Mus musculus: one gene and its partners. The protein of the gene in region 1 binds, or shares a complex with, the protein of each later gene. Links are inferred from orthologs where the notes say so. Each region holds a gene or a part of one and is shown in the gene's direction. Other genes may lie near its edges.

The links.
Region 2: Ccnt1 (region 1) and Sart3 share a complex: the UniProt entries of both Homo sapiens proteins name them as parts of the 7SK snRNP complex. The link is inferred for Mus musculus from reciprocal best matches to the Homo sapiens genes CCNT1 and SART3.
Region 3: the proteins of Ccnt1 (region 1) and Cdk9 are in contact, whole or in part, in a crystal structure (PDB 3BLH), measured with the Homo sapiens proteins. The link is inferred for Mus musculus from reciprocal best matches to the Homo sapiens genes CCNT1 and CDK9. Residues at the interface, in NP_001231.2 of Homo sapiens: Arg5, Lys6, Arg11, Trp12, Arg26, Ile72, Gln73, Phe78, Phe89, Leu90, Lys93, Val94, Pro98, Lys99, Lys100, Leu101, Val134, Glu137, Ile139, Leu141, Gln142, Thr143, Gly145, Phe146, Glu147, Leu148, Thr149; in NP_001252.1 of Homo sapiens: Val8, Glu9, Cys10, Pro11, Phe12, Cys13, Lys56, Glu57, Gly58, Phe59, Ile61, Leu64, Ile67, Lys68, Gln71, Leu72, Leu81, Ile82, Glu83, Ile84, Arg86, Ile99.

The regions. Positions count from the first base shown.
Region 1 is NC_000081.6:98,540,828-98,543,742, reverse strand, and holds part of Ccnt1 (cyclin-T1), read left to right. Parts: coding exon 1-532; 3' UTR 533-2,915. UniProt on the Homo sapiens protein: Regulatory subunit of the cyclin-dependent kinase pair (CDK9/cyclin-T1) complex, also called positive transcription elongation factor B (P-TEFb), which facilitates the transition from abortive to productive elongation by phosphorylating the CTD (C-terminal domain) of the large subunit of RNA polymerase II (RNA Pol II).
Region 2 is NC_000071.6:113,769,511-113,773,874, reverse strand, and holds the start of Sart3 (squamous cell carcinoma antigen recognized by T-cells 3), read left to right. Parts: upstream 1-1,474; 5' UTR 1,475-2,239; coding exon 2,240-2,554; exon of another isoform or gene 2,555-2,678; intron 2,679-4,364. Other genes in the region: Iscu (iron-sulfur cluster assembly enzyme ISCU, mitochondrial), read right to left, coding at 931-1,290. UniProt on the Homo sapiens protein: U6 snRNP-binding protein that functions as a recycling factor of the splicing machinery. Promotes the initial reassembly of U4 and U6 snRNPs following their ejection from the spliceosome during its maturation.
Region 3 is NC_000068.7:32,709,956-32,714,216, reverse strand, and holds the start of Cdk9 (cyclin-dependent kinase 9), read left to right. Parts: upstream 1-1,432; 5' UTR 1,433-1,560; coding exon 1,561-1,652; intron 1,653-2,104; coding exon 2,105-2,186; intron 2,187-3,425; exon of another isoform or gene 3,426-3,649; coding exon 3,650-3,740; intron 3,741-4,007; coding exon 4,008-4,174; intron 4,175-4,261. UniProt on the Homo sapiens protein: Protein kinase involved in the regulation of transcription.

The DNA.
Region 1 (2,915 bases):
CCAGACAAGCACCTTAGCACACAAAACCTACAGCTTGTCCAGTACTTTGTCTTCTTCCAGCTCTACTCGTAAAAGGGGTCCCCCGGAAGAGACTGGGGCAGCAGTATTTGATCATCCAGCCAAGATTGCCAAGAGTACTAAATCTTCCTTGAATTTCCCCTTCCCCCCCCTTCCTACAATGACCCAGTTGCCTGGGCATAGCTCAGACACAAGTGGCCTGCCCTTTTCACAGCCTAGCTGTAAAACTCGAGTTCCTCATATGAAACTGGATAAAGGCCCTCCTGGGGCTAATGGTCACAACGCAACTCAGTCAATAGATTATCAAGACACTGTGAATATGCTCCACTCCCTGCTTAGTGCCCAGGGGGTTCAGCCCACACAGGCCCCTGCATTTGAATTTGTCCACTCTTATGGTGAATATATGAATCCCAGAGCTGGTGCCATCTCCTCCAGATCTGGCACTACAGACAAACCTCGGCCACCACCCCTCCCATCAGAACCCCCTCCACCACTTCCACCTCTTCCTAAGTGAAAAAAAGAAAAAAAAAAAAAAGAGGCAAAAACTTCAAAAACAAAAAACACTTTTTTGTTTTGTTTTTTTGTTTTGACTACTGATATTAGACTACGAAAATTACATCCCTTATGAAATCTGTCACCTAAGGAGTAAATTGCTATTGAGACAAGTGGGCGGGTGGTGGAGGGAGGGCCTCAGTTATTCGATCTGCTGCCTCACATCTACAGTTCGTGCTGGTATTAGAGAGGTGGGATTATGTCGAAGCTGTGAAGGATGAAGAACACACTCTACTCTTGGCCTCTCTTCATCCTAACTAGGTTGATTGGAGTAGTTATCTTCCCTCTTCTTGCCAGAACTAAAATGTGGAGGGCATATCAAGCGGTTGTGGATGCTTTTGGTGTTAAACATATCAGAAGAGAGGAAGTATTTAAACGTCAAATCTTTAAGAGACTTTTAAAAAATAATTTAAAGAAAGTAAGTTATGTTTAGTTTTTTTTATATAATCGGGAGGGAAAGGGATTTTGCTGTGTGTATGAGGAACATAGCAGTGACTGGTGGGGGGGGGGTGGGAGGGTGGGAATGTGTGCAGGGTGGGGGGGAGGGTAGGCTCTTGGCCAAGAGTGAAATAGGCTCAGGCCTCTTGAAGTATTGAGATCTTTAAAAGTGCGTGTGTGCTTGTGTGTGTGTGTGTGTGGGTGTATGTGTGCATGCGTGTGCGCGTGTGTTTAAAATCATGTTACTTTATTCCTCCCATTCTTAACCATTTTCACATCTCCGCATTCTACTAGAGAGATAGTTGGCTTTGACAATAAGAAGAGACATGTATTGACAGTGTGAGTCCTCTCTTCCCTTCACCGCAGGCTTGCGTGGTAGCAGCCCTCTCGCTTCTAGTTCTGACCTGACTCCTGCGCCAGTATGGAAACTTCCCTGTTACTTCTTTTTGTGTTTTCAACGCAGCATGGAGGTGGGCTTGAGGAAGAAGCCTATAAAGCAAGGCCGGCCTCTCTCCTACAGAATGGGGTCTTTTCATGTTGGGCTTTGCGAGAAAGCTCAGGTCTCTGAAGGGAAGAAGGGTATGCTTTGCTTGTCCTGTCTGAAAAGACCAGACCATGTGTGCTACTAGGACTGGGAGAAGCCAGGGGGTTAAGATACTAAAGACAATGAAATTGTGATTTGGAATTCTGAAGACATGGTGTCTAAGTTACATTATGAATGTAAAGAGTTTATCTAGTGGGAAACAACTGCAGTGTGCAGCCTGTTTGGCGTCAGAGCTTGAATTTCACAGCATTGGTATAATGCATGAGCAAGCCCAGCCAACAGACACTGTTGTATTCAGATTATTTCTTAGTGGCTGGCTTTTGATTCTAGACAGAGATTCTTAAAGTCCTTTTAAAAAAGTGGATCAGGAATCCTGTTATGGGCCTTGATTGTTCCAGACATTAGAAGTAAATATATTTGATGAAGGAAATCTTGAAAAAATACTGACTAGATAAAAATTGTAAGCCAAGCTTTCTGACTGAAAAATGCTACCTAGCCACAGATCATTGCTGTTATTTGGTTCATTGCATGAGTGTGTATGTGTGTGTATATATGTATACACATATATATGTGTGTGTGTGTGTATGTGTACACACACATATATGTGGGTTTTGGGGGGTATGGATAAGATGGTGCTATGAAAATAATTTGTCTCTTGTTTTAATTAATGAAGCTTCTGTCATGCCAAGTAGTCTTTAGGGAGAAGTCAGAATCTTTTCATTAAAAGTCATAGGGAAACAGAAGTTGTACGGGTGCTGCTTGCCAAGGACAGACTAGAAAAGACACTGAGGCAGTTACTAGTGCTGACACACTGGCCCAACGGAGAGAGAATGTATGGGAAGGAATATGTCTTACTTACGGTGACTTTGTGGTTCTTAATCTGCATGTTTGAGTTGTCTGCAGCGCCTGCCGTTGCTGTGCACAACAAGGAGCTCCTTGCTGATAAACCAGTGATATTTCTTGATGTGTAACTTTTGAAGTAACATTTCTTTCTTGGTATTTCCTGTGTTGTGCAAGATAGATGTGTCATCATGATTACTAACTTTAGGCTTGGTATTTGTTGAGATTTTGTTTTCCATCCTGACCTTCCCAAACGGAAAAGTACCTTTTAGTTTGCATCTTTGTCTGTGATGATTTGATTTGGGGACGTGGACTGTTTTTTTAATCACTCTCATTAATGTCACGTGTTTTCTAATCACATGCAATCCCTTAGCACAAAGGTTGTCATATTTGGTGTCATAGCATTTCTTCACAGTAAACCTGTTGTTAAGTTTCCTAGAACTCTGTAGTGGACTAGAAATAACTGCTTACTAGAGTCTTCTAAAGAGCTACTTCATGCTGTAGTCTGGTCTTCTACTGTAGC
Region 2 (4,364 bases), on another chromosome or scaffold:
AGTCATTGGTGGCTGTAAACATAAACACAGCGCTACCCTGTGGCAGGAGCGCCCCCTGGTGCCTTAAGGCTGCCAGCCCGTCAAGGTCCTGCAGCTATAATGTCAACAAAACAACCTTCCCTTTGGGGTAGAAGGCCTTGGGCAAGAGCACCCAAGCCAGAACAGAACAAGCAGCTGTTAAAGTCAGGGACACACTAAGATTTAATAACCGAGCTTTCTCCCGCTAGTTACCAGGAGGCACCCTCATCTGCAGATTGAGTCTAAGCCCTGAGCCCCCATAACGCATCATCTAATCAAGGACTTTGGGGGGGGGGGGAGGGAGTGTCTTGTACATCTGCGGTAGCCTTGTTTTTCGGAGTGAGTCTCCTGTCAAGAGGATTTTAACGTCCCTAAAAGCGTGGGGGCCCGCAAACTACTCTTCTTCTATACTTTCTGCTCCCTACCAATAAACACACAACTGAGAACCGAAGTTTTAATGTTGGGCTAGGTGCTTGGCTGAGCTCGAGGCCATCGGCTCCTAAAAGAGTAAATAAATCGCCATCAGTGGTTTCCCTTGGTTGGACCGAGCGCTCCACGTACGGGGACTTCAGAAGACTCCTGTCAGGTCTGAGAGAAAGGATGGGAGGGGACCAGTGACTTGATCAAGGCCATCTGGCCAGGGCAATGGCTTAGCTGGGGAGGACGCTGGTGCTGTCGAGTGTGCTCAAGCATGCGTGTGTGTGTGTGTGTGTGTGTGTGTGTGTGTGCGTGCTGCCCCTTGACCCCCGGCACGACATACCCGGACCCTCCCTTCTGGGCTGTCAGCCTTGGGACACTCGGAGTGACGGCCGCGGCGGGGCAGAGGCGGCCGCGGGGCTCCTCGGTGCTGGTGATCTGCGCAACGGCGGCAGGTCCCCTCGATGGTTCGCGCACCCCCTCGCCCGCCCATACCTTCTTGTGGTAGAGCCTGGCCGGAGCCGACAGCTCCCGGGCGGGCAGGCGCGGGCTCCGCAGCAGCAGCGCCGACGCCGCCCGCCTCAGACGGCCAGCTCCCGTGGCCGCCGCCATCCTGCCGGCTTGAGCTGCGTCGACCTCGGCGACGCCGGAGGGATGGCGCGCCCGTTCGACGTCACCGCAGCTCGGCGCTTGCGCTGGCGTCTCGGCCCGGCTACGCCCCCTCTGACCGCGCCCTCGGAAGGGGCGTGGCCAGGCGCAGAGCGGGAAGGTCCGAAGCGGCGTGCAAGGTTGTCTGGTGCTGCGATGGGCGTGGGGATGCTCGGTTTCAGGCGTGTTTATGATTCGATCATGCATACGTCCCTGGTAGACTTTTGTTCAGGCTGTGGAGTTCCTTTTCTTTCTTTCTCTCTCTCTTTCTTCCTTTTTTTTTTTTTTTTTTTTTTTTACTAATTCCGAGGTAGCCGTTTCACCCATGGAGCAAATGCATATTAAGTGTACTCTAGGTGTCACTAAAAAAAAAAAAAAAAAAAAAATCCTGGGAGCAAAACGGACGCGATTTCTGGCTCGTTAACCTTGTTGATGAAGGGGAAAGGCAGTGCAGAGGGAAACAGCAACGCTTTTCCGACCTCGAGAACGAGGGGTATAAGAGAAACGAACCCCATCCCTCGACACCTACGTTTGTTTTACCGCCATGCACATCATTCCGAATCAATACTTATTGTAATGTATTATCATTGACTATAAAAATCCACAAAAGCGACTCGTTTAACACAACTACGAGGTACTAGGTGTTACAAAGGGGAGGGAGCTTTATTCGAGAGATGAGACTTTTCCCATGAGATGGTGCATCCGATCGCGGAGGAACTGCAATCTTGTCCGCACTTGAGGGTCGGTTGCCGGGAAACAACCACGCACCGGAGCCGGCCGAGCCTTACAGAAGGTCTTTAGTCCAAAGCGACGACTTTGACCTTCCTAAGATGGCGCCTCGACCTTAACTACGGACATCACGCACGCACCACTTCAGCTGTGGCTGCCACTTCCGGCCCAAAGACCCGACAGCTGTCCACGGTTGTAGCCGGACGCAGGTTATGCTCGTGAGCCTTTTCTTCTGACGGTGGCGTCTGGAGGCGCTAAAGGATAGCATCAGCGGTGGATTCTCCACAGCTTCCTGCTCCCTGAGGCCGTCCGCGACGCTCCCGCTGGTGGCCGAGCGGAGTTTTGATCAGGCAGACGCCGCGGACAGCCCGATGCTCGCCGGGCTTCGGCGGGCGAGGGAAGACCCGAGAGTCGCGGGCTGCGCAAGATGGCGACGACGGCCGCATCTTCGGCGTCCGAGCCGGAGGTTGAGCCCCAGGCCGGGCCTGAGGCCGAGGGAGAAGAGGATGAGGCGAAGCCGGCCGGTGTGCAGCGGAAGGTGCTGTCCGGCGCTGTGGCCGCGGAGGCGGCGGAGGCCAAGGGCCCCGGATGGGACCTGCAGCGGGAAGGCGCGAGCGGGAGCGATGGGGATGAGGAGGACGCCATGGCTTCCTCCGCCGAGAGCTCCGCCGGGGAGGACGAGTGGGAGTACGACGAGGAGGAGGAGAAGAACCAGCTGGAGATCGAGCGGCTGGAGGAGCAGGTTGGCCGGCCTGGGTGGCGGCGGCGGGCTCCCTTCCTCCCTTCGGGTCCCCAGGCCCGGCCCGCCCCCTCGGTCCTCCGTGGTTATGGAGACCGCTGAGGTCGCCGGGACGCCGTGAGCCACCGTGAGTCCCCGCGTCCCCGGCTCAGTGCGCGCCCAGGGCGTCCCTAAAGTATTCCATTGAATAGTGTTTAATCCGGTTTCCCCGGGAAACTGAGGCTCGTTGAGGGGGCTCCTGCACAAGGTGCCACCGCACCTGAGAGTGTTTATCTTTTTAAGCTTTTACTCTCTCTTTTTTTTCTTCTTATTTTAAACTTGTGCTTGTATGCCTGCGTGGACACGGTTGTCTTTTAACCATGTGTGTTCCGGGGATTGAACTCTTGGTCATCAGGTGTGGCGGCGGAGCCATCTCTCCAGCCCCGGACTGTCACTCTTTTTTTTTTTTTTTTCCGAGACAGGGTTTCTCTGTGTAGCCCTGGAACTCACTTTGTAGACCAGGCTGGCCTCGAACTCAGAAATCCGCCTGCCTCTGCCGCCCAAGTGCTGGGATTAAAGGCGTGCGCCACCACGCCCGGCCGGACTGTCACTCTTAACCAAGTGGTTTAACTGTCTGACAGTCGGAGGGGAACTTATTTTCCTTTAAGGATAGTAATAGTGGTCAAAAGTGGTGTAGAACGAAAAAAACGAACGCGACTGTAATAGAAGTGCAGAGGTTGAGGCTTTTGGTCTGAAGGCCAGGGCCCAACTCACTCACTCTCTCTCTCTCTGTCTCTCTGTCTCTCTCTCCCTCTTTCTTTCTTTTTTGTGGGGGCGGGGTTTCAGGCAGGATCTCAGTATGTAGCTTTGACTGCCTTGGAACTCATTATGTATACCAGGCTGGCCTGGAGCTCACAGAGATATGCCTGCCTCTGTCGCCCCTACCAGGCCAGAGCTGCCATATCCAGCGCCCCCAACTCCCTTTTAATTTACGTGTATGAGTGTTTTCCCCGAATGGGTGTGTGAGCAGAGACCAGAAGAGAGCATCAGGTCTCCTCGAACTGCAATTGCAATTAGGGACTGTTGTCAGGGGTTCTGTGGTTGCTGGGAATTAAAAACTGGTTTCTTTAGAAGAGCAGCCAATGTTCCTAATCGCCAAGGCTGCATCCTTTTGGAATTCGGTAACAACTAATACTCATGTGTCCTCAGTGATTTTTTTTTTAAACAGCTTCCACTGTAGATTAGGAGCAATAATTTCTGTGAAATAATCATTATAGCCCATGACTCCTGCCTAATGAAGTTGCCATGGTAACTATGGCCCCAGTGCCTGGTCCCAGGTAGTAAAGCGGTCCCTGATCTGTTATTGGTGATAACTCCTTTATAATCCAGTATGCTAGCAGGGGTAGGTGATGAATTCAGATTAGAATGGTTTGAGCAAAGGTGCATGAATAGTCAGTCACTGTCTATAAAGTGTGGGAGCAGAACCAGGGGTGCTAGTCACAGCGGGACTGGAGACCTGATATGTTCCCCCCCCCCCATGCTTCTGCCAGTACCTCCTGTTGGGCAAACCCAGCTGTAAACCATTGCGCCAGGAAGACCAAGATCTGGTGCGCCCAGTTGTTCATAGCACAAGGTAAAGATGTGGAGGAGTGGGGCCCCAGAGAGATGAAACCTGTTCTCGTGGGGAAACAAGGCTCAGAAATGGTAGGATGGCTGATCCGAACTCCCATAAGTGGGACTCGATCTCTTCCAGTCACCTGTGGTCTAGATATTCCCCCGGAGGTGCAGTTCCTCAGCAGTGTGAGGAACACAGTCCAGTCAGCTAGCCTTGTCT
Region 3 (4,261 bases), on another chromosome or scaffold:
GACTTGTCTCCATCAAACAAGAGGGGGAAGCAAACGGGAAGCCTGCAGCTGACCCTGGAGAGTGGGGTGGCAACTCTGAAGACAGGAGGGATTGGGAAACTGAAACAGAAGGGAGCTTGTAGGACCACAGACCAGGAGGTAAACGCTGGAAAAATCGGCCATGATCAGCTCAGAATTTCAAGACAGTAGAGGAAGACAGAACAGACTTCAGACTCTCCTCTCTGTCTCTCTGTGTTATTGTTGTTTTTCCTGGCTGTCCTGGAACTGGCTCTGTAGACCAGGCTGGCCTGGAACTCAGAAATCCATCTGCCTCTGCCAAGTGCTGGGATTAAAGGCGTGCGCCATCAAGGCCCGGCTCACGCCCATTTCAAAAGCATCAGGAGTGCCGGCTCAATGTTAACAGTTTTGGGGATGATTGACTCTGGACAGACCAGCTTTGGCGCGGCTCTGTGAAGGAAGGTTGTAGTAGATCCATCCTGACAACACAAGATCCAAGGGTTTAGGCCTGAGCGTTGATCGCTCACCGCCCACAGTGTCGCCGCGCCCCCTGGCGGCCGTCAGTTGCCATGTCAACGGCGGGTGGCTGAGACGACGGAGGCGGCAGCGGGGGCAGTTCTCTCTTCCCCTGGCCTCAAGGCCGCTCCCACGGCACCTCCTGCCTTCGCCTCACCGGGAGCACACTCCCGGTCCTGGAAGAAGGGCCATTCTGTAGCAGCTGGCATTCGGGGGATAAACTGAGGCACGCAGGAGGGAGCCGCAGGCAGGTGTCTAGTGCGGAGCCCCACCTCCAAAGGCAGAGGAGGGGCTGCGAGCAGTGACGCGCCGAGGGCGGACGCTGGACTGGGAGCGGGAGGGCGGGAGGCGGCGGCGGCAGGTGCGGCTGCGAAGGGTGGGAGGAGGAGGGAGGGGGTGGGCGGAGGGGGAGGGGAGGCCAGGACGGGCACCTCCCCCTTTATAACGCGCCCCCTCCCGGGCTTTCGGGCCGCCTCCTCGTCTGCTCTGCCTATCTCGCCCCCTTGCCCTGCCGCCCCGGGCCGGGCTTGGCCAGGGAGCCTCCGCCCCCAGGCCTTCCCCCCACCACCACCCGCCGCCCCGCGCAGCCCGGCGGAGGCGGCGCCGTCGGAGGAGGAGGAGCAGGGCACTGCGGCTGGCCCCGGATCGGGAGCCAGAGCGGCAGCAGCTTCGGCAGCAGCACGGCCCGGGCCAATGCAGCGGGACGCACCGCCGCGAGCCCCAGCCCCAGCGCCACGGCTTCCTGCGCCCCCGATCGGGGCCGCCAACAGCGCTGGCGGCGGCGGCGGAGGCGGGGGCAGTGGCGGCGGCGGAGGCTCCTCTGCAGCTCCGGCTCCCCCTGGCCTCCCGGGAACTACAAGTCCCAGGGGGCCTGGCGGCGGGCGGAGACCGGAAGAGGCGGGCTCGGCACCTCGAGGCCGGAAGTGGCCGTGGAGGCGGAAGTGGCGCGGCCGCGGAGGGGCCTGGAGTGTGGCGGGACCGGGAGCGGCGGGAGCTGCGGCTGGGGGCGGCGGCGGCGGCGGCGGCGGAGGCGCGCTGGAGGTGGCCATGGCCAAGCAGTACGACTCGGTGGAATGCCCGTTCTGCGATGAGGTCACCAAGTACGAGAAACTTGCCAAGATCGGCCAAGGCACATTCGGGTAAGATTAGGCCGCGTGGGACCGCGAGCCCGGGACCTGCACTTTCCAGGGCCGACGTCGGGTCGCCCAGAGCCCGGGCCGAGGTGGTCCGGAAGCTTCTGTTTTCGTGGCTGTTGCCCGGTCTTGCTCGGCCGCGGCGCAGACGTTCCCGGCCCAACCGAGCCGACTGGCGGGGAGGAGCCTGGGGCCCGTGATGGGGGTTGGGTAGGGTTGCTGAGAGCCACTCCGAATGTGAGCGGCCACCTCTAGGGGAGGAGTAGGGGCTGAGTAGGAGTAAGCAGAGGCCGGGAGGAGGACGGAAGACACGCGGTGTGGAATGACCGCGTCCCGGATCCGAGGCCGCACCCCGCCCGCCGTGGGTCTGGGCTCCTGCTGCTCCCCTTCGCGCGGGGGAGGGGCACTCCCTGCGGAAATGCCTTATGGGTCCCTTGGGTCTTTCTCTGTGCCTGCAGGGAAGTCTTTAAAGCCAAGCACCGTCAGACGGGCCAGAAGGTGGCTCTGAAGAAAGTGTTGATGGAGAATGAGAAGGAGGGGGTGAGTATATGGACCACTGGGCCGACCTTCTTCTAACCTGGCTGGGTTTCCACACCGCTACTTCAAAGGGTTTTGTGCTGAGATTCGACCTAGTGTTTTTCGGTTTTCCATGGAACAAGGAATTTGGCTTTCCATTTACACTGTTGAGCTTTAGTGGCAGAGTTCTGTGGGAGCCACGGGAGGGAGCCTGTGCTTTTCCCATGGAGTGCAGGTTGACTCTAGAAAACTTTCAGCTTAGCTTGGCGTTGAATTTTGTTTTGTATGAAGAGACCATTTGTGCACAAGCCGTTTAAAAGGCCGCTGAGCTTAAGGTGATGTTCTGAAAGGTGTTGTTTCCATCAGCCTCAGCAGCATTGCCTTTGTAAGGAAAATGCTGTTTGTCTTACTTTGCGTCTATAGGGTCTTCTGTTTTCTGGCATGTCTGTGTACAGCACTATTCTCCAGTACCTGGGTACCTGAGGAAGCCAGAAAGGTGTGCCAGGTTGCCTTGGATCATTTGGGACAAAAGATCCACTGTGTGGGTGCTGGGAATTGAACCTGGGTCCTGGGGGAGGATAGCCAGTGCTGTGGTGTGTGTGTTTCCCTGAAACAGGGACTCTATGTTTTGTTTGACACAAAATCTCTCTGTAGCCCCAACTGTCCTGGAACTCACTGTTTGGTCCAGGCTGTTCTCAGACTCACAGAGGATCAACTGCCTGTGTTTCCTGACTGCTGGAAATAAAGGGCTGGACTGCCACACGTGACCATAGCCAGTTTCCTTAACCATTCAACTATCTCCATTCCCAGGAAATTTCTTGATCTTTTTGGTTTTTTTGAGACAGGGTTTCTCTGTGTAGCCCTGGCTGACCTGGAACTCACTTTGTAGACTAGGCTGGCCTTGAACTCAGAAATCCACCTGCCTCTGCCTCCCAAGTGCTGGGATTAAAGGCGTGCGCCACCACTGCCCCACAAATTTCTTGATCTTAACTCACAAGTGTTAGTGACAAAATGTTTATCCTTATTTGGGTTGTCTAAAATAAATTCCCAGTCTGGAGTAAAGGGTTGTGATTATAATCCCAGCACTTATGAGACTGGGGAAAAAAGATGGTTCATAAACAAGTTCAAGGCCACCATTATCTAGATGGCAACATTTAGCAGCTCCTTGAGATATGTGTGTGTTTGCACTTATTTTATATTTTGCAAAGGCTAGCTACAGATAAATATAGATATATCTTCCCCTCTCCCTTCTTTTTGAATCAGGAGCTCAACTAAGCAGTCTGGCCTTGAACTTGGTGGTTCTGATGTCTCTGTCTCCTGATACGAGAATTGGATTCCAGATAGGAACCATCACACAGGAACGATTCTCTCGCCTGTCTTTCAACCTCTGTCCCTCAGTATAGACCCCAAACACACCCCCACCCCACCCACAGTTCCTCCGTCTGTTGTGCTCTCAATTTTGACCACTTCCTCTTTCTCCTCCCTAGTTCCCCATCACAGCCTTGAGGGAAATCAAGATTCTACAGCTCCTAAAACATGAGAATGTGGTGAACCTAATTGAGATTTGTCGGACCAAAGGTGTGTTGCTTGCCTCAGGAGAAAAGGGGGGTTTGAGACAAGGTTTCTCTGTGTAACCCTGGCTGTCCTGGACCTTGCGCCATAGACCAGGCTGGCCTCACACTTAGAGGTCCACCTGCCTCTGCCTCCCGAGTGCCGGCCCCCCATCTTCTCTGGTCTTGTTTGGAGTTGGGTGTCTGTGGGTTGGAGGGCTGGGAGTTGGCTGTGGAAAATGAGGTGGATGCAGGTTTTTATTTTTTATTTTTCTCTCTGCCCCTTCTGTATCAGCCTCACCGTATAACCGCTGCAAGGGCAGCATCTATCTGGTGTTTGACTTCTGTGAGCATGACCTTGCTGGGCTGCTGAGCAACGTCTTAGTCAAGTTCACGTTGTCTGAGATCAAGAGAGTGATGCAGATGCTGCTGAACGGCCTCTACTACATCCACAGGAACAAGGTGGGGCAGAATGGGGCTTCTCTGCTCTTGACTGCTGTGTAGGCCAGGCTCCAGGATGCTATGAAACCTGACTGAGCTCTTGTGTGT